Mus musculus: one gene and its partners. The protein of the gene in region 6 interacts with the protein of the main gene of each other region in a pairwise test. Links are inferred from orthologs where the notes say so. Each region holds a gene or a part of one and is shown on either strand. Other genes may lie near its edges.

What was found.
Region 1: the proteins of Wdyhv1 (region 6) and Sfn interact in binary tests that used the Homo sapiens proteins (3 or more experiments, as listed by UniProt). The two-hybrid records come from large-scale screens. The link is inferred for Mus musculus from reciprocal best matches to the Homo sapiens genes NTAQ1 and SFN.
Region 2: the proteins of Wdyhv1 (region 6) and Gnmt interact in binary tests that used the Homo sapiens proteins (3 or more experiments, as listed by UniProt). The two-hybrid records come from large-scale screens. The link is inferred for Mus musculus from reciprocal best matches to the Homo sapiens genes NTAQ1 and GNMT.
Region 3: the proteins of Wdyhv1 (region 6) and Cda interact in binary tests that used the Homo sapiens proteins (3 or more experiments, as listed by UniProt). The two-hybrid records come from large-scale screens. The link is inferred for Mus musculus from reciprocal best matches to the Homo sapiens genes NTAQ1 and CDA.
Region 4: the proteins of Wdyhv1 (region 6) and Klhl12 interact in binary tests that used the Homo sapiens proteins (3 or more experiments, as listed by UniProt). The two-hybrid records come from large-scale screens. The link is inferred for Mus musculus from reciprocal best matches to the Homo sapiens genes NTAQ1 and KLHL12.
Region 5: the proteins of Wdyhv1 (region 6) and Tollip interact in binary tests that used the Homo sapiens proteins (3 or more experiments, as listed by UniProt). The two-hybrid records come from large-scale screens. The link is inferred for Mus musculus from reciprocal best matches to the Homo sapiens genes NTAQ1 and TOLLIP.
Region 7: the proteins of Wdyhv1 (region 6) and Nme1 interact in binary tests that used the Homo sapiens proteins (3 or more experiments, as listed by UniProt). The two-hybrid records come from large-scale screens. The link is inferred for Mus musculus from reciprocal best matches to the Homo sapiens genes NTAQ1 and NME1.

What each region holds. Positions count from the first base shown.
Region 1 is NC_000070.6:133,600,056-133,603,563, forward strand, and holds Sfn (14-3-3 protein sigma), read right to left. Parts: upstream 2,114-3,508; 5' UTR 1,715-2,113; coding exon 968-1,714; 3' UTR 501-967; downstream 1-500. UniProt on the Homo sapiens protein: Adapter protein implicated in the regulation of a large spectrum of both general and specialized signaling pathways. Binds to a large number of partners, usually by recognition of a phosphoserine or phosphothreonine motif.
Region 2 is NC_000083.6:46,726,366-46,730,628, forward strand, and holds the start of Gnmt (glycine N-methyltransferase), read right to left. Parts: upstream 2,801-4,263; 5' UTR 2,787-2,800; coding exon 2,581-2,786; intron 1,028-2,580; coding exon 900-1,027; intron 352-899; coding exon 241-351; intron 47-240; coding exon 1-46. UniProt on the Homo sapiens protein: Catalyzes the methylation of glycine by using S-adenosylmethionine (AdoMet) to form N-methylglycine (sarcosine) with the concomitant production of S-adenosylhomocysteine (AdoHcy), a reaction regulated by the binding of 5-methyltetrahydrofolate.
Region 3 is NC_000070.6:138,365,156-138,369,283, reverse strand, and holds the start of Cda (cytidine deaminase), read left to right. Parts: upstream 1-1,328; 5' UTR 1,329-1,340; coding exon 1,341-1,494; intron 1,495-4,128. UniProt on the Homo sapiens protein: This enzyme scavenges exogenous and endogenous cytidine and 2'-deoxycytidine for UMP synthesis.
Region 4 is NC_000067.6:134,462,031-134,465,530, reverse strand, and holds part of Klhl12 (kelch-like protein 12), read right to left. Parts: intron 1,705-3,500; coding exon 1,551-1,704; intron 1-1,550. UniProt on the Homo sapiens protein: Substrate-specific adapter of a BCR (BTB-CUL3-RBX1) E3 ubiquitin ligase complex that acts as a negative regulator of Wnt signaling pathway and ER-Golgi transport.
Region 5 is NC_000073.6:141,883,271-141,885,461, forward strand, and holds part of Tollip (toll-interacting protein), read right to left. Parts: intron 1,312-2,191; coding exon 1,097-1,311; 3' UTR 1-1,096. UniProt on the Homo sapiens protein: Component of the signaling pathway of IL-1 and Toll-like receptors. Inhibits cell activation by microbial products. Recruits IRAK1 to the IL-1 receptor complex. Inhibits IRAK1 phosphorylation and kinase activity.
Region 6 is NC_000081.6:58,139,882-58,144,165, reverse strand, and holds the start of Wdyhv1 (protein N-terminal glutamine amidohydrolase), read right to left. Parts: upstream 2,801-4,284; 5' UTR 2,674-2,800; coding exon 2,585-2,673; intron 959-2,584; exon of another isoform or gene 897-958; intron 1-896. UniProt on the Homo sapiens protein: Mediates the side-chain deamidation of N-terminal glutamine residues to glutamate, an important step in N-end rule pathway of protein degradation.
Region 7 is NC_000077.6:93,965,473-93,969,770, forward strand, and holds the start of Nme1 (nucleoside diphosphate kinase A), read right to left. Parts: upstream 2,801-4,298; 5' UTR 2,749-2,800; intron 2,554-2,748; exon of another isoform or gene 2,489-2,553; intron 466-2,488; 5' UTR 462-465; coding exon 336-461; intron 1-335. UniProt on the Homo sapiens protein: Major role in the synthesis of nucleoside triphosphates other than ATP. The ATP gamma phosphate is transferred to the NDP beta phosphate via a ping-pong mechanism, using a phosphorylated active-site intermediate.

The DNA of each region.
Region 1 (3,508 bases), on a different chromosome or scaffold from region 6:
TCCTCTTCAGCCGATTTCTTTTTGTCCCTGGGCCTTGGGGAGCTTTCCCTTATTTGATCTGTTTTATTGGAGGCACTATGCCCCTGCCTCAGATTGCACCCCTCGGCTCAGATCTGAGCACTTGACGTGACCGTTTCCCGCTTCTTAAAGTGAGGTCCCCAGTGCCACTTGTGAAGCGTGTCTCTTAAGGCCACTGTGCCCAAACTTCCCTGACTTCGCGGCTTTCCCGCCTACAGCCCCCACTCTCCTCTGCTCTCCTGACCTGCCTCTGTGCTCACCTGGCCTGAGCCGAAGCGCTGCGGGGACTTCCTGGTGGCCTCTCACCTGAAGTCACCCTACCCAAAATTTCCAGGTCACCGACACCGACCCAAAGGCTCGTCTCACTTCCAGGTCACCCAGACAGCCCCAAGGGACAGACCTAGCTCAGAGTTTCAGAGTCCGGTTCTCTTAACTCATTTCTAATTCTACTCTCAACCCATGGCCAATAACTGAAGAAGACCGAGTGTCACAGGGCAACTTTATTGAGTGGTAGCATGGTCACACCCAGCAAACGTGTTCCCTCTCATTCACTCTCTCTCTCTCTCTCACACACACACACACAGAGTTTCCCTCTCTCTCACACACACAGCCCTTGCCACAGTCCAGTTCTCAGCCACAGGGTGGGGAGCCTCCTGGATTATTCGGATCCAGAAGCAACAGGTGCCCGAGGGAGGCTCAGGGGGAGGAAGTGGGGAGGGGGTGCAGAGAGCAGGGGTGGGATGGGTTGGGAACACCCACCAGACAGCTACACGAAGAGTGAGATTCCCTGCCCTGGTGGCTTCAGCTTGGCTGCGCCCCCTTCAAAGGAGCCTTCCAAGGTGTGGCTGAACATTCAGGGTTTGGGAAGGGCAGAGTCCCACTCCGTTTTAGTCCTCTCTGCAGGCTGGGGACTGGAGGGCAAGGCGAGCCGGGGTGGTTGTCGGCTGCTTCAGCTCTGGGGCTCCTCCGGAGCCTCACCACCCTCTTCCCCAGCACTGTCGGCTGTCCACAGCGTCAGGTTGTCTCTCAGGAGCTGCATGATGAGGGTGCTGTCCTTGTAGGAGTCCTCACTGAGGGTGTGCAGGTCGGCCATGGCCTCGTCGAAGGTGGTCTTGGCCAGCGAGATGGCCTCCTCGGGGCTGTTGGCTATCTCGTAGTGGAAGACTGAAAAGTTCAGGGCCAGGCCCAGGCGGATGGGGTTGGTAGGCGGCATCTCCTTCTTGCTGATGTCCATGGCCTCCTGGTAGGCTGACCGGGCAGAATCGATGATGCGCTTCTTGTCATCGCCAGTGGCCACCTCGGCTAGGTAGCGGTAGTAGTCACCCTTCATCTTCAGGTAGAAGACGCGGCTCTCTGCATCTCCAGCCCCTTTGATGAGGTGCGAGTCCAGCAGGCCGAGTACGGTGTCGCACACACCTCTGAGCTCGGTCTCTACCTTCTCCCGGTACTCTTTCACCTCGGGGCCCTTCTCTTCTGACCCCTCCTCGTTGCTCTTCTGCTCGATGCTGGACAGGACCCTCCAGGCCGCTCTCTGGCCGCCCACCACGTTCTTGTAAGCTACGGAAAGCAGGTTTCGCTCCTCGCAGGAGAGCTCCTCGCCCTTTTCCACGGCGCTCTTCATGAAAGCTGCCATGTCTTCATACCGTTCGGCCTGTTCAGCCAACTTGGCCTTCTGGATCAGACTGGCTCTCTCCATGACTGCGAGGATGGACAGACAGACGGGCGAACTGGCTGTCTCGAGAGTAACGCTGGGTTCTGCGGCTCCCTTGCTCTGGCTCTGCCTTTTGGCTGGGGTGGCATGGCCCTGAGAAGAGTTGGGCGTGGTCTGAGCGGGCCTGGGCCCTGCCTCCTCCTAGTCTTCGCCACACCCTTTCCGGCTCTACCTTTAAGGTAAAAGGGCTGGGACGGGAGGGGGCTGTGAGTCACCAGGACAGTCAGCAGGAGAAACCTGGCCGCAGGTCCCACCTGCAAAGGCACCTTTCGGCTCCAGACTGCCCCCTGCAGTTCAGGGCTGGCTGCATTGCAGGAGCGTCTTGGATTACCAAATCAGATTGTCTTTCAGGGTGATCTTCCAGGCTTCAGCCACCGAGCTGCTTTAGCCCAGGCAGAGCCCAGGGAGCTGGGACAGTTCAGGTGAGAACTCATGTATAGGTAGGGCTGTACAGTTTCCCCCAAACTTGCGCATCCATGATCTGATGCAACTACCCCCAACCCCCGAATTGGCTCTGTAGGACTGTAGAGGTAGAACTATCAAGTCTCAGGGGTGAACCAAACCAGTTTGAGGTCACAAGCTGCCAGCTCCCTTAAACCCCTCCCCCTCCGTGTCCCCTCTTCCTCTTGGCTCTCTTTGGGGGCCATTAGCTGAGCCGGCCTGAAGATAGCTCCATCCCTTGGTCCTTGTTCTCCCTCAAGATGCCCTATGAACACCCCAGATGCGCAGGTGGCATCTCAGGGTGCCACTTAATGAAGTGTTTAACGAGCGGCCTCTGACGCTCCAGCCCAGCCTTTGTAATTAGTCACCCAATATGTTTGTTGGACACCTTCCCCCTTACAGCACAATTTTCCCTTTCAAGTTGGTGGCCTGTTGACACTTGTCTGAGACTTTACTCTCTGGTTCTCCACATCGGGTCACCCGTCCCTTCCAAGCTGCCTGTCGTCATGTATCGGCAGGGTTCCCAGAGGGTGGGGGCCTAACTCTTTGACTGTCCCACTCCCCTGCCTGACTCAGATTACCTCTGTCAGAGGCTGGGAAGCAGGCCACCTGGGTGCTCAGTCCAGTTTGGTCCCCCAGGGGGGACGCTATCAACCTGGGGAGGAAGACAGGGCTGAGGGAAAGGAGCTGGGAATGGCACATTCCATTTTGTTTTATGGCGCAGTGTGTGATTCCAGCCCAGTATGATCCCTCACTTGGCTCCCAGAGGTTCTCAAGTCCCTTCAAGACTCTGCCTCTGACCCCTGAGAGAAGTCTCCTTGGAGATGGAGATCACTTTGTTCCCAATCTTCCATCCCTGATTGGTTGGGCCCTATTTTCAAGGCCCATGATAAGAATGGGCACTGAGGGTGTGTTCCTGCTTATGTGCCCCACCACATTCTTCAAGTTTAGATGGGACTCCGTGGTTCCTTCTAAAGAAGTTTCTTCCTAGGACCCAGCCAGTCTAACCCTTGAAGCAGGACTATTGCACAACCTTGCCTGTCTCCTCACAGTGTCTGAGCACTCGCCTTGCCTCCGGGAGAGGTGTTGTAGGCCAGAACCCTGAACAGGCTGGAATGTGCTTGGGCCACGGAGTAGGGGCTCTTGAGAGACTTCAGGGTCCTGGCTAATTTTACAGGTTCTCCCAGGAAGCAGATGGGATTTCTGTCCTGAGATCTTGCGTGCTTTGCCTAACTCATGGCACAGGCACAGAACTACAGTAAAACATCAAGTTAGGGAAGACCACGGTAGTGTACGGCTAGAGTCTGAGCATTTAAACTCACACAGGGGACATGCCAG
Region 2 (4,263 bases), on a different chromosome or scaffold from region 6:
ATGCTTGCAATGTTCTTTAGTGCCAGCCGGTGCTCGCTCTGGTCACCTGGGTTCCCGGCAGGGCCACAGACACCATCTGCTTAGGCCTCCAGCACCACCTCCCGCCCCTGTCTCCCTCCCAAGTGCCAGCACTAAAGAAGACAGGCAAAATGCAGGTCTGCCTTATCAGGGCAGCAGGCCAGCCATCTTCGGACGTGGGGGAGCTCAAGGCAAGAGCCACAGCCAAGGCCACCAGCTTACCTTTGCAGTCTGGCAAGTGAGCAAAACTGTTCCCAAGGCAGATGACAGCATCAAAGCCATCTCCTGAAAGCACATCTTTGTCCAGCGTCAACCAGTTGGCTTCTTCAATGACTGGAGGCCAGGGCAGGGGTTGGGGGGGGAGTCGAGAATTATAGCACAGCACAGAAGCAACCACCTCCTCCCAGAGACACATGGGGACTCATTAGGGATGGAGAGAGCCACAGTTGGCAAAGCCAGCCCTCCACTTAGGGGCTTTTGTAGGGAGGAGAGACAGGATGTGATAAGACAGTTAAAAGTAGCTCTGTAGGGCCCAGTGACTTGACGTACACCTCTAGACTCTGTTAGACAGGAGCATCACTTAAATCTAGCTTAGCCAAGCCAGGCAACACGGGAAAAGCATAAAAACCGCTGGTAATGCAGCCCAGTGATCAAGGGTCTACTTGGCATGCCCAAGTTCAATGCCTAGCACCATAAATACAACAAACTTGCTCTTACCAGCCGGAATCCTACTCTGATGCCAAAGCCTTCCTTTTTAGGAAGTTGACAGGGACTGTACCGTGCCCTGAGGAAAAACCATTCAGCTCCACAGCAAGAGAGAGCCAGGGCAGAGAGTGACCCTGGAGGTGCATGTCTGGGGGGGCCTGGACAGACAGACTTACCCCAATTGTCAAAGGATGGCTCTTTCCTCCGGTTCCAGCGCTCCTTAAGCGCATATTTCAGCATCTTGTCGCTGGCGTCCACGCTCATCACGCTGAAGCCCTCTTCCACCAGCATGATGGAGTCCACTCTGGATGAGGTCAGAAACGGGGGACTAGAGGACCAGTCAGAGGAGCCTGGGAGGCCAAATGTGTGTGACATTTCCCCAGACATAACATTCCAGAGTCCGTTCCTCTGCTTCCTGTCCCAGGCCATCTCTACTGGTCTCAAGTGACCCATTAAGAATTTTCCTGGGGGCTGGTGAGATGGCTCAGTGGGTAAGAGCACCCGACTGCTCTTCTGAAGGTCCAGAGTTCAAATCCCAGCAACCACATGGTGGCTCACAACCATCCGTAACAAGATCTGACTCCCTCTTCTGGTGTCTGAAGACAGCTACAGTGTACTTACATATAATAATAAATAAATCTTAAAAAAAAAAAAAAAAGAATTTTCCTTATCAAGTAGCAAAAAAATTTTTTGAGAGTTTTTTTTTTTTTGTTTTTTGTTTTTTTTTTAGCCTGGTTTAAACAGTGAGTTCCAAGACAGCTGGGGCTACAAAGAGAGACTCTGTTTCAAAAAAATTTTTTTTCAAAATTTAATTTCATGTGTCGTGCCTGAATATGTGCATCATGTGCATACCTTGTGTCTGCAGACCCCAGAGAGGGTGCTGGGCACCAAATTTGGGTCCTCTGTAAGAACATGTGCCATCTCCCCAGCTGCCTCTTATTAGAAACAGGGTCTCCTAATGTAGCCCTGCAGGGCCTGGAACTCACAGAGAGCCACCTATTTAGGACTCCCTGAGTGCTGGGATTAAATATATGTGCCACTACTCCTGACATCAACACATTTTTTTTTATTTTTAATTATGTCTGTATGTGTAGTACATGTGAGTACAGTGCCCTCCACGGCCAGAAGGGAGCGCTAACCTCCCCCTGGAACGGAATTCCAGGCGATTATGAGCCACCTGATGCAGATGCTAGGCACTGAGAGCCTGTCTTCTGCCAGAGCCTAAGGGGCTCTTAGTAGTCGGACCATCTCACCGGCTCAATGGCTTTTTGTTGTTGTTTTTGTTTTTAAATCATAGTCAGGCATTCTACAAAAGTGCACTTGAGAACCTGGCATACTGGTGCTCCTGGAAATATCTCAGTCAGAGGTGTCCGTGAGTTCTGGGCTGAGTCGGGAGTGTGGGCCAGACACTATCCTGGTCTGTATCCTCTCCACCAAATGGGGGCCTTTTACCTCTTGGAAATGACTTTTTCTTTAGTACTACTGGTTGGAGAAAAGCGCTGCTCACCTCGTGGGGTTTTGTTACAGCTTGCAACACACGTACCCAAACTCCTGGCACAGCACTTGGCTGTGCAAACGTGCTACAAATGTTCTGTTCACACTGCCAGAGGCCAATCGCAGGAGGAACAGCGCCGGAGCCAAGGATCCACCTTGACCCAAAGCTCGGATTTTGCTCTGTCCCATGAATCCTTCTCTGCGCACACCCTGGCCCCTTCCCGCACTGTTTCGGCAGATGCTCTCCCATGCCCATACTACCCTGATGAGCAAGGGCTCTTGACCCCCTAGTACTGCCTGCCAGGCTCCAGCCCGCAGAGGCTGCCCAGACTGGCCTAAGCAGGCCGGCCCGTTTGGACTCACCCTGTGCCACAGGCTACGTCCAGCACCCTGTGGCACCCGTGCTGGCGCAACAGCCCAAGCAACCACGCCTTGTACTCTGCGGTACGGCTGCGGGTGTCCCCGATGTACAGCTGCCACACACGTGCGGCCTCCCCATCTGCATACTGGTCCGGGAGCCCTTCGGCCGCCACCCCCAGGGAGCGGGTACGGTACACGCTGTCCACCATCCTGACCGGCGCCTGGCTCTCAGGCCACGCGATCCGCACTTATAATCCTCTGGCAAGGCAGTCCCACCTGGCCAATGGCAGGTGAGAGCAGGGACACGCCCCTGCTGGGCCCTGGGCCCAGAGCCAGGCTTGCTGCCTCTGCCTTGAGGATGGCTCAGCACAGCAATCCTGGACCTGGCTTAGTAAGACAGGTCAGATAGGACTCGCCAGGGTGGCCGGGAGGAACTCACAAAGTAAAGCAATGAGAGATCACTCCACCCCTACCCAAGGAGGAAGGGGAAGAAGCCTGAAATCCACCCAAAACAGAATTATTACATGCCCAGCCCAGCACAGTGTCTACACAACACTGCTTATCATTTAGTGGAGGGAACACTCCGCTAAAGAGAGCCACTGTGTCGGGACATTATGAACAGTCTTTGAGAAAGATGCCCATCCAAGTACAAGAGTACACCTGGAGATAGGCGTGTCTCTCTTCCCCTCCCCCATACCAGCCAGGAGCCTCCTAAGGTAGCCTGGGCCTTCCAATCCATGGGCTTTATACTCTGCAATCTCTTAAAGGCTGGGTGTAGTAAGGTGAGACAGGAGGATTATTAGTGCTCAATGAATTAGTGAACAATGTGGGAGACATAGCAAGCCTTCCATCTGCTTTCCATGGGAGCACCTTCAGAGAGGAAAGTTGGGGGTCGGCAGGGAAGGTGCTCATGGCGCCCGCTCGGGCTAGCGTCACTGTATAACCTGAGGGTCCGTTTCGTGTTACCCGCTCACCCTTTTTACCCCACCAAGGACAAGATCCCAGCCGGGCTAAAGTCGGCTCTGGAAGATGCGTGTGAGCGACGAGAAGCCTGCCCCGCCTGCCCTGCCTGCCCACACACTTCCAACTCTGTGAACACTCGTTACGTGGAAAGAAGAGAGAAGACAGGGAGCATCCCGCCCGCCCGCCCGCCCGCCCTCCCTTCGCCTTCCCAATGCAGGGTGAACCCTGGAGATGGAAGGAGGCCCACAGTTGTGTGACTTAACCTTCTTATAGTAGGTATGGCTGTTTTGACTTCATAGATGTCAGTATGTGTCTGACGCCCGTGGAGCCCAGAATCGAGAGCTTCAGATACCCTGAACCTGCAGTTGTAGACAGTGGGGAGCCACTCGGTGGTGCTGAGGACACTGAACCCCACAGAGGACCAAGTGGTTTGTTTGGTTTGGTTTGGTTTTTGTGAGAAAGGGTTTCTCTGGCTGTCCTAGAATTCACTCTGTAAACCAGGCTGGCCTCGAACTCAGAGATCCGACTGCCTCTGCCTCCCAAGGGCTAGGGCTAAAAGCGTGCGCTACGACCCTAGCTGCAGATAGGGCTTTTAATGGCTGACCTATCTCTCCAGCCCATATTTTTTAACTTTTGTTAGCACAGCGCCAATCTCAAATGGTTCTGACCAGGCTCAGTCTTGGGGACTCAATGTCCCTACACACAGGCCTCTGACACTATGCT
Region 3 (4,128 bases), on a different chromosome or scaffold from region 6:
TCTATGTATGGCTAGGAGCCCAGGGTCCTGGGTACAGGGTTGCTAAACTATTGGGCAGAGGTGTCTGCTTGTGGGGTGGGGTGGGGGTGGGAGTGGGGAGATGCTGCCCCGTTCTCTGCTCTCTCCTGCCTTCTTCCTCCCAGTCCTCAGCACCACACAAGCCCTCAGAGAAGCTGCTGATTCACTCCTGCTTGGTGACCATCCGGCGACACTTGGACATGTCTGGCTGTGCTGGCTGCAATCCGGCCCACTCTCTATGGACTTGGCCAAGTCACTTAAGGACAATAAGCCGGTTTGTTTGAAGTGTTCCCATGTGCCACTTCTATATCCTCTCCCCACAGACTCCCTGGACCATATTATCATCTCAGTCTGGTAACCACAGGAAGGGACTGCCAATTGTGCACCCATTTTGTAGATAAGGAAACTGAGGCTCTGAGAGGTAGCGCAGCTCTTCCTGGGAGAGCTAATAAACAGATACCTGGAACCCAAGCCACAGCCCACTCTAATCCAAAGCTCCCACACGTCTGTTGCTACCCCCACTGTAGACAGCAAACGTGCCGACGTCTGACAAGGAACCCACTAACATTTGTGTGTAAGACAAAGAGAACAGCCAGGGTGTAAATCCATTTCCGGTACCACCAACCCAACAAGGTTCATGAAGAGGAAGGAAGGAAGGAAGCGAGGGAGGAAGGGAGGGAAGAAGAAGGAGGGCCCTGTTTCCCTCCAGCTGGGATGGTTTTAATGGCTAGGTTAGGACAGGAAGGAAATGAAGCCAAGCTACTGAAAACAGAGACGTTTCCTCGGCTTCGCATACCTTCTAACTTGGCACGCTGACATGGTTGCCCAAGTTCTGAACTTTCAGCCTGAACCCTTCTCTCGGTGTAAAAAACAAGCCATTAAATATTCTGAGGAATCAGGATCCTTTGAGCTTTGACCTCAGGTGTCACACAGACCCACCCAGAATCCTCCTCCCTGGGACTGTGTCTACAGCCATCCACTGAGGTGGCACCCGCCCTGTGGCCCACTCTTGATCTATGTTGACAGTGAGTGAAGTTGTTAAAGGAAACTGTCTCACTGGTGGGCACCACATACCGGTCCACCGTGGGACCCCCGCAGCTCAGTCGTAAACTCCATATCCTCCGGGCTCCCGCCCTGGGAGACTCACTGGGCTGCCAAGTCCTGGCCAGCATCCCGCCAGCCTGGGAGCCAGCCTCCAGGTCTCCCTCTAGCGCAGGGACACACCCCGGGGGAGGAGCCACCTCTTCTTGGCCAGTGCGGGCAGACGGCCAGCACCGGTTTCCTCTCCTCTGCAGCGACCAGCTCACCCGCCTCGGACCGACATGGCCCAGGAACGCCCCTCCTGTGCTGTGGAGCCCGAGCACGTCCAGCGGCTGCTGCTGTCCTCTCGTGAGGCCAAGAAGTCAGCCTACTGCCCCTACAGCCGCTTCCCTGTGGGGGCTGCCCTGCTCACCGGGGACGGGAGGATCTTCTCTGGTAAGGGCTGTCGCCGGAGTCCACTCTGGGGCAGCATGAATGGGGCCCAGGTACAGGTGAAGAGGAGAAACAGCGTGGTCCCCTCCTCACTGCTCCTCCCCTGCTCTCACCGAGGCTGTGGGCTCACTCAACTGCTTATCTGCACAGTGCCTCTCTGTTCTTAGAAGTCTGGAGTGGGGAAGGGAATTTGCACGTGAGATTAGAGGGAGAAGCCAAAATGAAAACCGTCCACGACCTGCATGGCAGGAGACTCGGATTACTTACTGAGTGTCCTGTATGCCCAGTATTCACCTCCCATCCGTTAGTTCTTTCTCTGACCTCCTGCCCAATATTAGACCCATTTTAAGATGAAGAAGTTGAGGCCAGAGGCATGTCCTAAGTTACAGGAGGCACTGGTGATGGGACCCAGGGCTGGACCTCCCAAAGCCCCACCTTCCTGCACCCTGGGGTGCTGGGATTGGCTGGGGAGGGATGGCATCAGGCAGACAGAGCGTTGTTTGTTTGTTTGTTTGTTTGTTTTTGGAGGAGAGGATCCAGACACCGTCTGGGAATCCAGCAGTCTTTACTGAGTTAACAGGATCTGCCCTGAGCTCATGTTTATAGACCCTCAAGCAGGCCAGAATGGGCTGCAGCTATGGTGTGGTACTCGCTCACACAAGGGTCTGGGTTTAGGGGAACAAAAGGAGGGGAAAGAGAATAAGGGAAGGAGAGAGTGGTAGAGAAGGAGAAGGGAGGGAAGGAGGAAGAGAGGGAGGAAGAAGGGGAGGAGGGAGGGAAGGAAGGAGGAGGGAGGAGAGGAGGGAGGAAGGGAAGGAAAAGAAAGGAGGGTGGAGGGGGAAGGGAAGAAGGAAGGGAAGGGAGGAGGGAAGGAAGGAGAAAGGAGGAGGAAAGAAGGGAGCTTGGTAAACTTAAGGACATGTTCAGTTGGGACATGGTGTGGACAGGTGACAACTACAGTGCCCATTCGTATGCCTTGTTGACTGAGCCTCTGTGAGCTTCATGAATCACCCAGCTGTGTGACAAAACCTTCCCTGGGGAGATGCAACACAAGTCTACTCACCCCAGAGAGGGAGCCCACAACAGGTCGAAGTACAGATACCTCCAAAGTCCAACTTGGTGAACCAACTGGACTTACCTACAGGAATATGGGTGAGGGGTCACTTACAGGAGCAGAAAGGACTCAAAAAACCCAGCTGTATCACCAAGGCCCACCCCAGCATGGGTACCAGCTTCCAACGCTGGGAAACTGGAGTTGACTGCACAGCCTGCAGGCAGCTCACAGGTTAGATGGAGAGCATCCTTTCCAGGTGGCTTGGTTGCTGTAGCCCTCTTTCAGGCAGCTCAGCGTCTTTCCTCTGAGAGGGACCCTGAGCTTTTACTGTCTACTCTGGAAGGGGGGCAGGGGTCCAGTGATTCTGGTCAGTTTCAGGGACTTCCTGAAGCTATTTTGAGTTCTCTCGAGATGGGGTTTGTGGAGTATGTGAGCAAGGGGCTTGGGCCAGGACTGTGGAAATAGGAAGAAGAGGAAAGAGATGGGATGACCTGTCAGTCAGTAAAGTGCTGATCTCCAGAGCCGGTAAACATAGGCACAACACACGCTTGTCATCCCAGTGCTGGGTGGATGGAGACAGATGGATCCTTGAGGCTCACTGGCCACAGAGCCTAGCCTGATTGGCAAGCTCCAAGCCAGTGAGAGACTGTCTCAAAGAACAAGGTGGATGGATGGTATCTGAGGAATGATACCTGAAGCTGACCCAGTCTGGCTTCTGTACACATGTGGCAGAGAGAGAGCGAGAGAGAGAGACAGACAGAGAGACAGAGAGACAAACACACACACAGAGATACACACAGACAGGCACACAGAGAGACAAACATACACATGCACAGACAGACAGACAGATACAGACAGACACACACAGATACACAAGCACACAGAGAGAGAGAGAGACAAACACACACACACATGAGGAGGAGGAAGAGGAGGGGGAGGTGGTGTGAAGCTGTGAGAGACAACCAATAGGATGAAAGGAGGGACCAAGAGCACAGTCAGAAGGTTCAGTAGAATGAGGAGCCCTCTGTAACCTATGTGGGTCTCTCGTAATCTCACAGCCAGTGCTGGAGGCAGGCAGGTGAGCATCGTTGTCGTGTACATTAGTCAGGAAGCTTTCTCTCAGCAGTGATAAAACGGATAAAACCGCCAGGCTAGCTCCCATTTCAGGGCAGGCTAACCCAACTCAGATTCCATGACAAGTTTGTTTGTTTGTTTGTTGAAATAGGGTTTCTCCTTGTAGCCCTGGCTGTCCCAGAACAATAGACCAGCCTGGCTTCAAACTCAGATCTCTGCCTGCCTCTGCCTCCTGGTGCTGCTATTAAAAGTGTGCACTGCCATGCACCCAAGTACCTATCATTAGAATGTTTTCTTTTTTCTGTTTTCTGTTTTTCTTTCTTTTTTTTTTTTCCCCCCTTTGGTTTTTCGAGACAAGGTTTCTCTGTGTAGCCCTGGCTGTCCTGGAACTCACTTTGTAGACCAGGCTGGCCTTGATCTCAGAAATCTGCTTGCCTCTGCCTCCCAAGTGCTGGGATTAGAGGCGTGGGCTATCATGCTTGGCTGTTTTCTGTTTTTCAAGACAGGGG
Region 4 (3,500 bases), on a different chromosome or scaffold from region 6:
AAATTTATTTTATTTACTTTTTTTTAAGTCCATGCCATTTCTCCTTCTCAAGTATAAGTTAATTTTAATTTTATTATTTTTTATTTGTCTTGGTTGTTTTGTTTTGGAGACAGGGTTTTTTTGTGAAGTCCTGGTTGTCCTAGAACCAGTTCTGAAGAGCAGGCAGGTCTCCAATTCACAGAGATCTACCTGACTCTGTCTCCTAAGTGCTGGAATTAAAGCATGCACCACCACTGCCTAGTATAAATTTTATTTTCAAAAGATATTTTAAGGCAGCCATGAGGATGTATACCTCTAATTCTAACATTTCAGAGGCAGAAGCAGATGGATATCCTTGAGTTAGAAGACAACCTGACCAGCAGTTCCCAGATAGCCACAGTTACATAGTGAGACCATGTTTCAAAAACCAAATACAGAAACAAACTAGGGGAGCCAGGCATGGTGGCCCAAGCCTTTAATCCCAGCACTTGGGAGGCAGAGGTAGGCAGATTTCTGAGTTCGAGGACAGCCTGATCTACAAAGTGAGTTCCAGGTCAGTCAGGGCTACACAGAGAAACCCTGTCTCAAAAACAAAACAAAACAAAACAAACAAATAAACAACCCCTAGGGGACTGGAGAGATGGCTCAACAGTTAAAAGCACTATTACTCTTGAATAAGAGTTAGGTTCAGTTCCCAACTCCCAGAATGCAGCCCACAACTGCCTGTAACTCCAGTTTGGGGGGAATCCAACACCCTCTTCTGATCTCTGTGGCCATTAGAGGTCATACATTTGAGAATAATATACACATAAAAATAATAAATAATAAAAGTAAACAGAAATAAATTTTCTTAAAAAGGTATTTTACATGATTCAAACAAAAAGGTTTATTTTAAAAAGTCCTCTTAGCCTCTACATGCACAAACATCAAATGACAAGGTAAATAAACAGAATCTATGTAGACAACGAATATTATCAGTTTCTTGGCAATTTTTACTATGTATGTATACATGTATGTATTAAGGAAATACCTATATTTTCTATTCTGCTTTGTTTGGTTCAGTTTAATTAGTTTATGCTATGGGTGCTTTGGAAACGTGCATCTGTGTGCCATGTTCCCAGAAGAGGGCATTAGGTCCCTTGCAGTGGAGTTACAAAGTTGTGAGCCACCAGTGGGTGCTGGGAGTCAAATACAGATGCTTCTGGAGAACAGTCCATGGTCTCAACTACTGAGCCTGCTCTTCAGCCCCTTTGCTTCATTTTAACATGTAGTCTCATTTTATGTACTAAATTGGCTTGAAACTTAACGCAATCCTCCTGTCTCAGCTTCTTAAGTGTTGGGATTATTGCAAAAACGGAAAAAGTTTAAATGTTTTCTTTTACAAGACCCAAATACTCTTATGTGGTGAGATTCTTTTGCATTGCTCTTGACTCTATCTTATCTTCCATGCTCAAAGATTCAAATGTCATGCTTCTAGACTGATCTCTCAGTCTCTTGATTAATTTTGCTTCAAATGAAAACACTTCCAGGGCTAAAGTGTCATGAACAAGGACACCTTTTACTGTCTGTACCTTTCAGCTGAAGAAGACAGGCTGCAGGGAGCAGTTCTTGAACATTCTCCACTGTCACATGTACTGTTTCTGTGTACACGAAGTCCAGCAGGATCTCCATGGTAGCAGCAGTTAAACCTTGAATGTCAACATACGGCTTCCCCTTCTCTGAAAGCTGAAAATTCAGGAGGTAGGAAAAGGACGGTACTTTCAATTCCACAAGGTAGACACAGAACCCAAGTCTAAGAGCTTAAACGGATGCTGGTACTAACTAAATACACATCTTTTAAAAACAACAATCTGAGACAAGAGAGATGGCTCAGTGGTTAAGAGTACTGGCTGCTCACTGCGCAGTGGTGGTGCACAGCTTTAATCCCATCCCTCGGGAGGCAGAGGCAGTAGATCTCTTGAGTTCCAGGCCAGCCTGGTCTACAGAGTGAGTTCCAGGATTGCCAGGGCTACACAGAGAAACCAAACAAAAAGGGTCCTAGTTGCTCTTTCAGAGGACCTGTGTGCAATTCCCATCACCCATTGCAGTAAACAATCATACCACCATTTCCAGGAAGTCAAGCCATTTTCTGACCTCCACAGACACCAGGCTCACACATTTGACACATACATGCAGGCAAAACACTCATAAGCATAAAATAATTTTATTAAAAAATTTAAATTATAATCTATTTTATTTGATTTGTATCTGGAAAATATGACATGTATTGTAAATCTTCAAATAAAATGGGCAGATGACTGTATCCCTAGGCGTGAACAATGGAATATCAAAATTTCTAGAGTTAACCTGATTCTATATTAAAACCAACATAGATGCCTTAAAGAACAGAATACAAAAGTTTCATTAACACTAGTGTCCATGTGCCTTTATGATAAAACATTCTCTCTCTTCTCTTCTTTCCTCTCCTACATACCACTCTATATGCTATGTGGCTGGCCTGGTTTTCAGGTTGTAGCCTAAGGTGTCTTTGAACTTATAGCCAACCCTCTCATCCCAGGCATTTGCCACCATGTATGGCTAAAATAGAAATAGTCAATGAAATTTCAGGAGAATGAACTCTGAGATTTATAGCTACAACCTCCTCCAACATCACCACATTCCTCTCATCCGCCCTCAGACTACATCTGGATAGAAAAAGAACATGAAGATCATTGTAAACGGCTCCTCTGTTTATGCTGCATGAGCTTGGGGGGAGGGGCAAGAGGCAAGCAGTGATCGAGAGCTGCTCTAAGCTATGCAGTGACATTGTATATCAAAAACAAGATCGTAATAGCAAAACCTCAGAGCCCTAGGGCAGAGACATGCAGATCCCATGACTCTCGAGCAAACTCGGGGTTCAGTGAGAGACCTTGAATCACACTGTAAAGTGGAGAGGTGGAGAAGCAGTTAAGGAAGACATGATGTCAAGCTCTGGGCTCACCACACCTTTACATGGGTTAGCACACTCATGCCCACGTGTGCTCACACACACACTCCTGTTACCACACTTTCATGTACTTCCACTGTTAACTAAATGGTTTTGTCATACTTAATTCCTCCATCAGCCCAAAGAGTAACAACAACAACAAAAAACATTCCTTAAAAAAATCAATCCCAAGCCGGGCATGGTGGCGCATGCCTTTAATCCCAGCACTTGGGAGGCAGAGGCAGGCGGTTTTCTGAGTTCGAGGCCAGCCTGGTCTACAAAGTGAGTTCCAGAGAAACCGTCTCAAAAAACCAAAACCAAAACCAAAACAAAAACAAACAAAAAAAAATCAATTCCAAGCCGGGCGTGGTGGCGCATGCCTTTGATCCCAGCCTCGGGAGGCAGAGGCAGGTAGATTTCTGAGTTGGAGGCCAGCCTGGTCTACAAAGTGAGTTCCAGGACAGCTGGGGCTACACAGAGAAACCCTGTCTCGAAAAACCAAAAAAAAAAAAAAAAAAAAAAAATCCCTCTTTATTTCCTGCACATAGGGAGACGG
Region 5 (2,191 bases), on a different chromosome or scaffold from region 6:
ATCTTAGCACAAGGCACCACTCAATTTCTCCCTAAATACATGTATGGCCAGGTCACGGGCTCAAAGGTTTGCAACCTAAAATACACTATACAATATCCACTGGTCAGGTACAGGCACCTCTACCTTTATGAAAGTTTAATTTAAGCATGAATTTTTATCACTCAAGCCAAGCTACAGTATGGGTCCACAGAGTATACTGCAGGTCAGTAGTGTCACAATGCTTGAATTTTAGTAGTAAGCACATAGTGCCACACCCACCCATCTCCTTCGCTTGACTCTGGGCTCTGTGATGAAGGTCTATCAACAAGAACAGCCCCTGGAGTAAGACCCATGATGCTGGTACTAAACAAGAGGATGTGGAAAGCAGCCTCCAGCAGTGAGGGCTAATGTGGGGCCTGGCCAACCAAGCACCAGGTCTGGATACCTTCTGTATTCAAGTTGGATTTCTGTGGCTGAAGCCTAGCCAGACAGTGGCAGATAAGCTAGACAGGAGGTTAGAGACCCACTGGATATGGCTGGGAAGCATATCTCACTGGCCAGGACTAGCTGAGGGGCCCATGTTCACATACAACATCAGAAGAGGGAAGGAGCTTTTAGCTTGAAAGTTCTAAAAATAACCTGTAAGTAAGTGCACATGAACTCAGTGCACCCTCAACAACCATCCCAGCTGGACTGAGTAACTCCATGCCATCCATCCATCAACTCAGAAGGATGCTGTACAATTTCTAGTATCTTGGCAGAGGCAGTTGCTTTCTGTAAGAATGCTTTCCAGAATAGGGTGAGGACAGGAGATGCAGGTCCCCAAACAGGACCACTGATCTGTGCAATAACAGGGCCATGCCACCATCACCCAGCTAGAGACTAGGAGAGAACTGTCCCCTAACTCTGTCCCCCAGCAACAATGAAGAGGACTGCCTGCTTAGAACCAAAAATCCACATGCATCCCCGAAATATGTAGGAAGGGGCGGCGCAGATGTCCAAGGAAGGGGTATGTGGATGGTCTTTCATTGGAATCTTGTGGGGATGGTGACCCTGGGGAGCCCTGGGTGGACAAGTCCAAGGGTCAGTGGTGTGAAGCCAAGGGCCACAGGCGGGTCTAGGACTCTTCACCCATTTGCAGCAAGGAATTGATGGCAGCATCTTTGTTCCCTCTCTGGGCTTCAAGCACAGAACGGATTACTTCCCTGTCCATGTTGGGAAACATGTCCTGGATAGCTTTGAGGTCCTCTTCATTACAGCGGGGCTGAGGAGCCACAGCTGGTGGGGGCATGGCCATCGGCACCATGCCAGGGCTGCAGACAGCAGGCATCCCTGAAAACAAAAGTTGAGGTTGGTTAAAAAGAGTGGGTTCAGCCAGGTGTTGTGGTGCCTGACTTTAATCCCAGTACTTGTAAGGCAACAGGAGAGTCTCTAAATTCAAGGCCAGCCTGGTCTACAGAGTGAGTTCCAGGACAGAGACAGTGGGATCACAAAGCTGCAGTGCCAAAGGAAGAAATAATACATCTCACTGGCCTCAAGGGAAAAGGCTACCTTAATCTGACTGGAAAACAGATCCCACAGGGATGCCCATGACAGATGGGATGGGCCATCCTCCTCACTACTGAGGCTCCCTCTCCTGAGGTATTTTCTTTCTGAACAAAAATTCAAGTTGAATATATCTAGTCAAAAATTACAGGGAGCAAGATGAAAATTTGGTAACCACATGTGCTACTTCAAGAACTTAGGAGACTCATCACGGACATGAGTCTTTACTGAGAATGCAGACAACAAACTAGTATGCTTGTTTTACCCAATACTCCAAAGTCCACTTGTGTCAAGATTCTAGAATTCACCTTCACAGCCTAACAAAGGCATTACAATAGTCATGCATATGGCAAGGTATAGCTACATAAAGTACTCCCTGAAAACTTCAAGAAAAGCTGCATATTAGCCTTTCACAATGAAGACAATACATATCAGAAAGTACATCACTTTCCAGCAGCCTGAGGTACCAAGGCCCCCAGTGGGGCACGGGAGCTAATCCTTTTGCCATGAGAGCAAAAAAGGCTGCTGGCAAAGGGCTTAGCACTGATGCTACATGGCTCCCTGCACCTTGTGATAGATGAAGAGGTACAAATTGAGAAACAGAGGCAGGTTTCCTAAGTACCCTCTGGGCCAGGCCATCACCTTCATGTCTCTGTCCTGACTGACC
Region 6 (4,284 bases):
TGCTTGCTTGTATAATTATGGACATTTTTTCACACTCCTCAGAGGAATGCCCTCCTCCCAGTTAACATCAATGACTCCATGAGAATCTGAGACAGCATGAGTCCAGAAAACGAAGGTGTGGCTAATGTCTCAGCAAAATGGTAAATACTGTGACCCTCAGGACAGCCCTTAAGGCTGTGGGAAAGAGCTCTAAATACATGAGTTTGAAAATATATAATTTCTCAACTATGCAAAAACATAAGGATGCAATATGAATTGTATAAGGAGTTTCACAGATCTAAATAGACAAGAGGCAGCTACTCTATATGACACAGATTTCTGAGTTCAAGCCTGGAACAGATCAAATTTAGGTCCAGGAGTGGTCAGAATGGTAATCTCCGGACAAGGTCCCAACTAGCTAAATTTACAAAAGCAGCCAGATCTCTGAATTCTTTTACAATGCTAAAAAAAGGGGGAGAAAATCTGCTTGTAGTCTCCTAAGAATTAAGGGCCTGGGGTCACAGGATTCATAGGATAATCAAAGGGGAACCTGGAGGTTGAGAACAGCTCTTCAAGAATTTTCTTTTTTCTTTCTTTCTTCCCGCCCTCCCCCACACCCTCCCAGGGTTTCTCTCAGTAGCCCTGGCTGTCCTGGAACTCTGTAGACCAGGCTGGCCTTGAACTCAGAAATCCGCCTGCCTCTGCCTCCCAAGTGCAGGGATCAAAGGCGTGCGCCACCAAGCCCGGCTAAGAATTTTTTTCTAACAGGATTTGGAACATGGTGGGACAATGTAAGGAGGGCGACCACAGCTCTTTCAGATCTTTTCTTAGCTCTTTTAGAATTTTCTCTAATAAGATTTACTGACACAGCTCTGTTAGCATGTCTCCTAGCAGCTAAACAGAAAAAGCTGGCAGAAGAGTGAACACAGCTCTTTTAGAATTTTTTTTCTGGCTTTCTGATTTTGATCAGAAAACCCAAGAATTACTTTTTGAGTATTTCTAACAGGATTTCTGACTTGGTCAGCAAACCCATGAGCTATCCAAAGAGCTTTTAGAACTTTTAATAGCAGAGAGAGCTGTCTTGAGCAGAAAGCTAGCTGTTTCAACCAAAAAGTTTTCAGAATAGCAAGAAAAAGCTGTCTCAAGCAGACACAGAGAGAGCAGTCTAGAAAGCCACATCAGCGGAACATAGACCACCAGCATGGACCAACAATTTGACTTCAAGTAGTTTTCACTGCTCCCAAACACCCCTTCTTTCAGAAACCCGGTCCCAGCTGAGGCCAGTCCTTGGCACTGCCAGGAAATTTATCTACCTTGTTTACTGCTCTATCCTCTGTGCATAGAATCAACCAACATACATTTCACATCCCTACGAAATATTTACTAAATAAATGGAAGACACAGAGTAAATGTTCCAGATAAAAACTAGCAGGATTTGGAAACCAGGCGGAGCAGATCTATAATGCAACAGCTAAAAAAGAAGGACTCCCAACCACCATGTAGACTCCAGATCTCATTCCACTTAGTTGTGTGGTCTGGGACAAACCACAACCATTCTATAGTTCAGCCTTTGTAGTGTCAATAATTACCACAGAACCTGTCTCCAAGACATCGCTCTACCACCCCCTGTTCTCAATCTGTGGGTCATGGCGTTGAATATCAGATATTTACACTACGATTCTTAACAGTAGCAAAATTAGTTGTGAAATAGCAACGAAGTTTTTACAGCTGTGGGTCACCACAACAAGAAGATCTGTATTAAAGGGTCACAGCCCTGGAAGATTGAGAACCAGGGCAAGCACTTGGACTTGAGCTAAAGTGGTCACTGGTCAGTCACAGCTGAATGCTAAGTTCTTAGAGTCCTTGTTTGAGTGACCAGCTAGAGTTGAGAGGAGTCTATTTAAATGATCCTGAGGTTTCTCCTGAGTTGGGATAGCAGTCCCTACACAAAAGGAAGATGAGGCCTAGGGACAAAAAAGGCAAGGTGAACGGTGTTTGCACAAGCAGCCTAGGACACTAACCTCACAATCCCGGGGCCTTGTGTAAAACAGCAGCACACCCTTCAGTACCTCAGAGTTCTTCCAAGCTGCAATCACACCAGTACCTACCTCTTGGGATTACTGTGAGGTTCAACTGAGTTAATTTACACCATGCACGCAAAACAATGCCTAGCATATGGCAAGGATGGTGCAAATGCAACCATTATCATATGGCCAGTAAGGTAATGCCAGTAAGGTAATCAGGGTAGCCAGTTGCCTGAACTGGATTTCCTACTACCACAAATTCTGTGTCTCCATTGTCTTTAAAATTATAAAGACGTATACTTCAACCTGAATCAATGCAGACTTCAACAGTTACCATTGGGTCTCCAGCCTAACTCCCCTCCCTCCCTTGTCCCTATGCACTAAGACGCCCCGACTTCACCCCACTGCTCAGGCTCAGCTAAGGAGACCAGAAATGCGTTCCCCACCCTCCTCATCCCGGCGCTAAACCCGGGCAGTGTAGGCCAGCAGCAGCACTCAGGGGAGCATCCAGGAGAGGGGCGCATTGGTGGCGGCGCGCGAAACCGCGCAGATTCCCGGGGTCCGCGCCCGCGCTCTCTCACCAATAGCAGCTGTTGTAGACACATGCGTCCCGCGTAGGACAGACCGGCTGGTACTGCGGGGCCGTGGCGGCGGGGCCGTCCCCCTCCATGACCCGAAGCTGTGGCTCACAGGTCAACTAAACAACCCGCTGGCCGCAATTGTCGCCAGTCTCCCAGGAGGAGAGGACAACAGAGTAGGCGGCCAGGACAGTTTCCGGGTGGGAGAGCCGAGAGCCGGGTGGGCGGGGCCCCGTGCAGCGTGAGGGCGGAGCCCGGGATGACGAAGCCTGCGTGGTTCCGGGTGGGCGGGGCCTGAGAGAATGAGTGGGATCTGAGGGGGGTGGGGGTGGGGCGAGGCTGGTGGAGAGGGGGCTGGGAATGCGAATCTTAGGATGACTTGAACTGTGTAGTTCTTGCCAGGTTTTGCGTGGTGGGTGGAGCCTGTGGCAGAGCGGGATGCACTTAGAGGCTTCCCTCTCGCCCCGCCCCCCCCACCACCCGGACCCCAAACCGAACCTGTTCTTGAGCTACGCTGCGTAGACCTAGTCGCCCTCCCATGGAGGGATTGCTTGTGTTGTTGCCAGTGTTTAGATATGAGCTTCCGGATACACTTAAAACTCCAGCTAAGGTTGCCCGCTGTGTGAAACCAGAAGAAACTCTAAACTAAGAGATGCTTGGGCACGCACGAAAGCTGAACCTTTAGAGCAGGAACTGAGAAAGAAAGGCGAACGGGGGGGGGGGGGGGGGGTGTTAGTGCAGTGCACCCAGATCTCACCATATTGTAATTTAATTTCTTCTCATCTGGATCTCTCTCCCTCTCCGTGTGTGTGTGTGTATTTTAAAGAAAAAAAGTTTTAACCAGGTGTGGTGACAGACACCTAAAGTCCTTGCATGCAGGAGACTGAAGCAGGAGGATTGCTTCTAATGCAAGGTGATCCTAGACTACAAAAGAATTTTTCTTTTAAAAAAAAAAAGATTTAAAGAGTCTGGATAGCATTTTGTGTTAATCATATTTATTTTCAAAAGAGAAGACACCAAATTGCTAAAACAGTGTTTATGCATAGTGAATTAAAGACATAGAGAACTGTCTCTATAGACATCCCAGTCTCCTGTGTGTGCCTTAAGTGCTCAGAGAACCTCCCTGCAAACGCTGGACTTCTTAAGATTAGATTATAGGCCACCCACAGACTCTCAGCCTTCTGAGACCCCAACCCCATAAAGTGCTGTGCTGGTGGTATTCTGGTGAACTTCAGCTGCTGTCCAAAACCCATAAATCCTACAAACTAAACATGTGTTTGTGTCTGTTACCAATTTATTGTTTCAGCTTGAATACTCCCTTCAACAGAGGCTGGGAGGCAGGGAGTGGCAGTCATGAAGCCTCTCTTGGTTAGTACAAAGTGAGTGTGAAGTTAAGCTTTCTCAGTAGAAGGATGGAAAGAGATTGCAAGGGAAAGAGGATCCCTGCAGTTTCTAGAAGGGACCAGAGCTAGTTGTGTGATCATCCTGCCCTCCAGTGGAGTCAGCTCTGGACAGACACCAGAACTTGGGGAAGCCTGCTTGCAGTTGTGTGTGGACAGCAATGGCCTTCTGTCTTAATCAGGGTTTCTATTCCTGCACAAACATCATGACCGAGAAGCAAGGAAAAGCAAGTTGGGGAGGAAAGGGTTTATTCAGCTTACACTTTCACATTCCTGTTCATCACCAAAGGAAGTCAGGAAGCA
Region 7 (4,298 bases), on a different chromosome or scaffold from region 6:
TGTGGGAGTTAGAAGGATGGTCTCTAAAATTATCTTCTTAGGAGGCTAAAGACCAAGAGCTCTAAAACACCCAGAGCTGAGTCAGAAATTACAGCCCTGCAGTAATACGAGGGACTTCAGGCTGGGGCGGGGAAAGAGAGCTTGCTATTTTTGAAAGCTCTAAATGACTTGGTTTGTTCTAAGATTCAGCCAGCAAGCTTAGTCACTGAGAGGGTTTCAGGCTCCAAGATAGCCTACCATGGAGACGTCTAGACAGGAGACAAGACAAGCACAGAAGTTACTGTGCAATGCTCCGCTATGCTCCAAAGACTCAACACAGGCAGAGGTCCACTCACCTGCAGAAACTTCAGACCAACAAGGCGGAACCCCTTCTGCTCGAACCGCTTGATGATCTCGCCCACCAGCCCCCGCTGGACCCCATCAGGCTTGATGGCAATGAAGGTGCGCTCACTGTTGGCCATGGTCCTGTGGATAAGCAAGCAGGGAAATGAAACAGGGCTGAAGAGATTCGCTCATCATGATCCTTTTCAAGCGGATTACCCCCATAAAGCTGGCTTTCATCTACTATGTCTACCCCAAATCTCTCCAGTAAAATCCCAATCCCTGCCCAGCTCATTCACCCACAAATTAATATCCTGAAGTGGGGGAGGGCTCAAAAACAGGAACTGAAATGTTTATTCCATTGATTTAGTAACCTCCTATTGAGCGTCTACTGGGATGGAGCTAAGGAAAGAGATGTAAACTAAGACATACACACACCAAAAAGACAGCACCTTTTTCAGTAAAACAGATTAGGGGATGTTGCACTGGTGTGGTTTTCCTAGGGAAAGCAACATCTGGAACAAGACGGTCTGACCTCAGACATTAAAGCCAGCAAGAGTTTTAGAGCCGAGCGTGGTGGTGCACACCTTTAATCCCAGCACTCGGGAGGCAGAGGCAGGCAGATTTCTGAGTTCGAGGCCAGCCTGGTCTACAAAATGAGTTCCAGAGAAACCCTGTCTCGAAAAACCAAAAACGAAAAAAAAAAAAAAAGTTTTAGAGAATATGTCACGACAACCATCTTTGGTTTTTACAAAGAATGAGATTTCCCAGCCCTGTGCAATTTGGGACACTTCTCAGGATGCAATGAGAAAAGCCAAGCCTGAGGATACATGCCAGTAATTATATCCCTAGGAAGGCTAAGGCAAAAGGGAAAAAAAAAAAAAATCAGACCAGCCTGGGCAACATAAGAGCCTGACTCAAAAAGCAAAGCAAAGCATAAAAAAAGAAAAGAAGGAAGAAAGAAAGAAAAGCAAGAAAGAAAGAAAAGGAAAAAAGAAAAGAAGAAAATGGGAAAGCAAACAAACAATGACTATGTTCTATCATAGATTGGGGAGGGACTCAGAAGGCCCAAGGCCTTATCCCTGCCTTGGGAGCTATTGGCAATTATTGGCAATTAAGGGGGGGGGGGCACTCTTCACTGATGTAGCCATGGGTAAACTGTCCATGCCACAGCAAATAACTCCTCTATCCATCAAGCAAGCAACTCCAATTAAACTCATTCAAACACACACAAACACACACACAGAGAGAAAAAATATAAGACATGAAAGTAGGAGAGAACTTGTTGGAAGAATTCAGGCTAGATGAGAGAGTGTAAGGGGAGAGGGTGAAATGACTAAATATATCACATACATGTAGAAAATTGTCAGAGAATAAAAAGATAAAAACTTGAAAGTCCATTATGTAAGACTAGCAATTAACATTTATTAAATTACATATTATGGGGAAAGGGCAATGAGTATTGTAACTAACCAATGAACTGTGGATTATGAGAAAAACCACAGCCCAATACCTAACATGGGGCATCATCCAGGAAGAAGACACCTGGAGAACATCCATTCCAGAATGTTCCATTTCCAGGGTACACTGCCTCACAAGATGAAAGGAGACTCCACCTTGAAAGACGATACCTAAGAGGACAGCAACACCGGCTCCTGGCTCTGTCTTTCTAAACTTGGGTTCACCTCTAATTTTATACCCTAAGAATGAGGCCTGAGCCAGCTAGACGGCCTAGCAGACCTTGAGTTGTACTACAAGCATGTGTTGGGTCCCACGAACCCGCTCCACAAAATTACCTTCTGGGGTTCACATGTGAGCTAGGGCATGCATGAACCTTTGCATGATCATTTTTGTTCCTGACTTCCTGTCCCTCTCGCCTGCCCGGTCTGTAAGCCAGTCCACCTATCTTTGATACCAAACCACGGGGTCTCGCAGTCAATAGGAGCAAAGAGCAGGCCTTAAGTGGCAATCGCGCCCCCCATAAAGAGAAAGACAGAAGCCACAGACTAGCTGGAGAATGTCTGAAGGAAAGATTATTCAGAAATGGCTGAAACATCCTCTATGAAAGCCTCTGCATACCGATCTCTCTTTCTTTCTCTCTTCACTCACATTCACACACACAGAGAGTGTCATTCATTCATTCAGCAAGCACCACCCGAGTACCAACTCTGTGCCCAACAGCGGACTGGAAAGAGAATAAGGCATAGCCCTGCCGCGAGCCGGACAGGAACTGCGGCCACGGACAAAGGCGAGCCCACGTGGCGTATCAAGCTGACAGGTCTGTACCTGGCCACAGCCTGCCATCTCCCTGCCTGCCATCTCCCTAACACCCCGCGGAGAGTGCACCCTTTAGTGAACGCCCACCTCCCTCCCCATTCACCTAAACCCTCAACTTGTCTCCTTGACTCTCAACTTGACCCCTCTTACCCCTTCAGATGACAAGGCTTTACCGCCGGCTGCGACTGCCCGCACCGGAAACGCTCCCCGGCCTCACGTGGTTCCCCGCAGCTGCTCGCACGGAACCTTTTCGGACAGTTCCGATTCAGGGGAGCCCTTTTAGCGGTACACCGCCGGTCCCCGCTTCTTCTGGGGAGTCGGATGTCATTCTAGGGAGCACTCGCCCAGTGTTTAACTTCCGACACTGGGTGTGGTGTTTTGGATTTTTTTACCCCCCCTGTCTGGCGGCCATCTTCTGTTTCTCCCCTACGGCTGCCTGTGACTCACTTCCTCCGTTCCCGAGAAAATCTAGTTTTTCCCGACAGGTGGCGCTCACACTGCATGAAGTCACAACTAGAGCTTCAGTGGCCGTGTCATTCCACCTTCCCTTCATTCTGTCAAGCAACAAATGTACTGAATCCTATGTGCCGGGTAGGAACATTCTAGAGCCTAGGGTTGAAGTTTACTTGGGAGCTTACTAGTAGGGTTGAGAATTGCGACAATAAAGAGAAAATTGATAGTGAACACACAGTGCAAGTGCTGATAAGAAAGAACAGAGCAGGGGGAAAAAATTAAGGCTGAGAAATCTCTGCAGAAGTGATAATCAAAAGGACCTACATGAAGGGAGAAAGCCCGTTATTACCTGAGAGCCAAGAATTATAGTGAATACCTGATGGTAGGAAACGCGGGAGGAGGGTTTTATTATTGTTGTTATTATTGTATGTAGGGTCTCATTATGTAACTCTGACTTTTCTGGAACTCACTGTGTAGATCAGGCTGGCCATGACCTCGCAGAGACTCCCTCTTAGTCTGCCTCCCGAGTTCTGGGATTAAAGGCATAACCACATCCGGCATTATTTATTTGTTTGCTTATTAAGATGTATTTATTTTATGTATGAGTGCTCTATCTGCATGTATACCTGCAGGCCAGAAAAAGGCATCAGATCCCATTATAGATGATTGTGAGCCACTACGTGACTGCTGGGGATTAAACTCAGGACCTCTGGAAGAGTAGACAGTGCTCTTCATCATTGAGCCATCTCTCCAGCCTCTTATTATTTATTTACATGTACACGCGTATGTCAGTGTATGAAGTGGTCAGTTCCAATGGCGGTGGAGTTACAAACAGTTGCGAGTGATCTGATGTGAGTGCTAGGAACGGAACTTGGGTCCTCTGCAAGGACAGTGTGTGCTTCATAGCCACTGGACCAGCTTGCCAGCCCAGATGATGTGTTTGTTTGCTTGCTTGCTTTTTTTGTTTTGTTTTTTGTCTTTTGTTTTTAATGAAATGGAGGGACTGGGGTGTTGGTCAAATGAGAAGGGCCTTGCCTGATGAATTCACAGCACTGGGAAGGCTGAAGCAGGATCATCAAGACTTAGAGGCCACCAGGATGACATAGAGAGAATATGTCTCTCAAAAAAACAGGCAGGTTAAAGAGCTCTGTGATTTCAAGACAAGCCTGATCTATATAGTGAATTACAGGCTAGTCAGCACAACTTAGCAAAAGCTTATCTCAAGCAAAACAAAGCAAAACAAACAA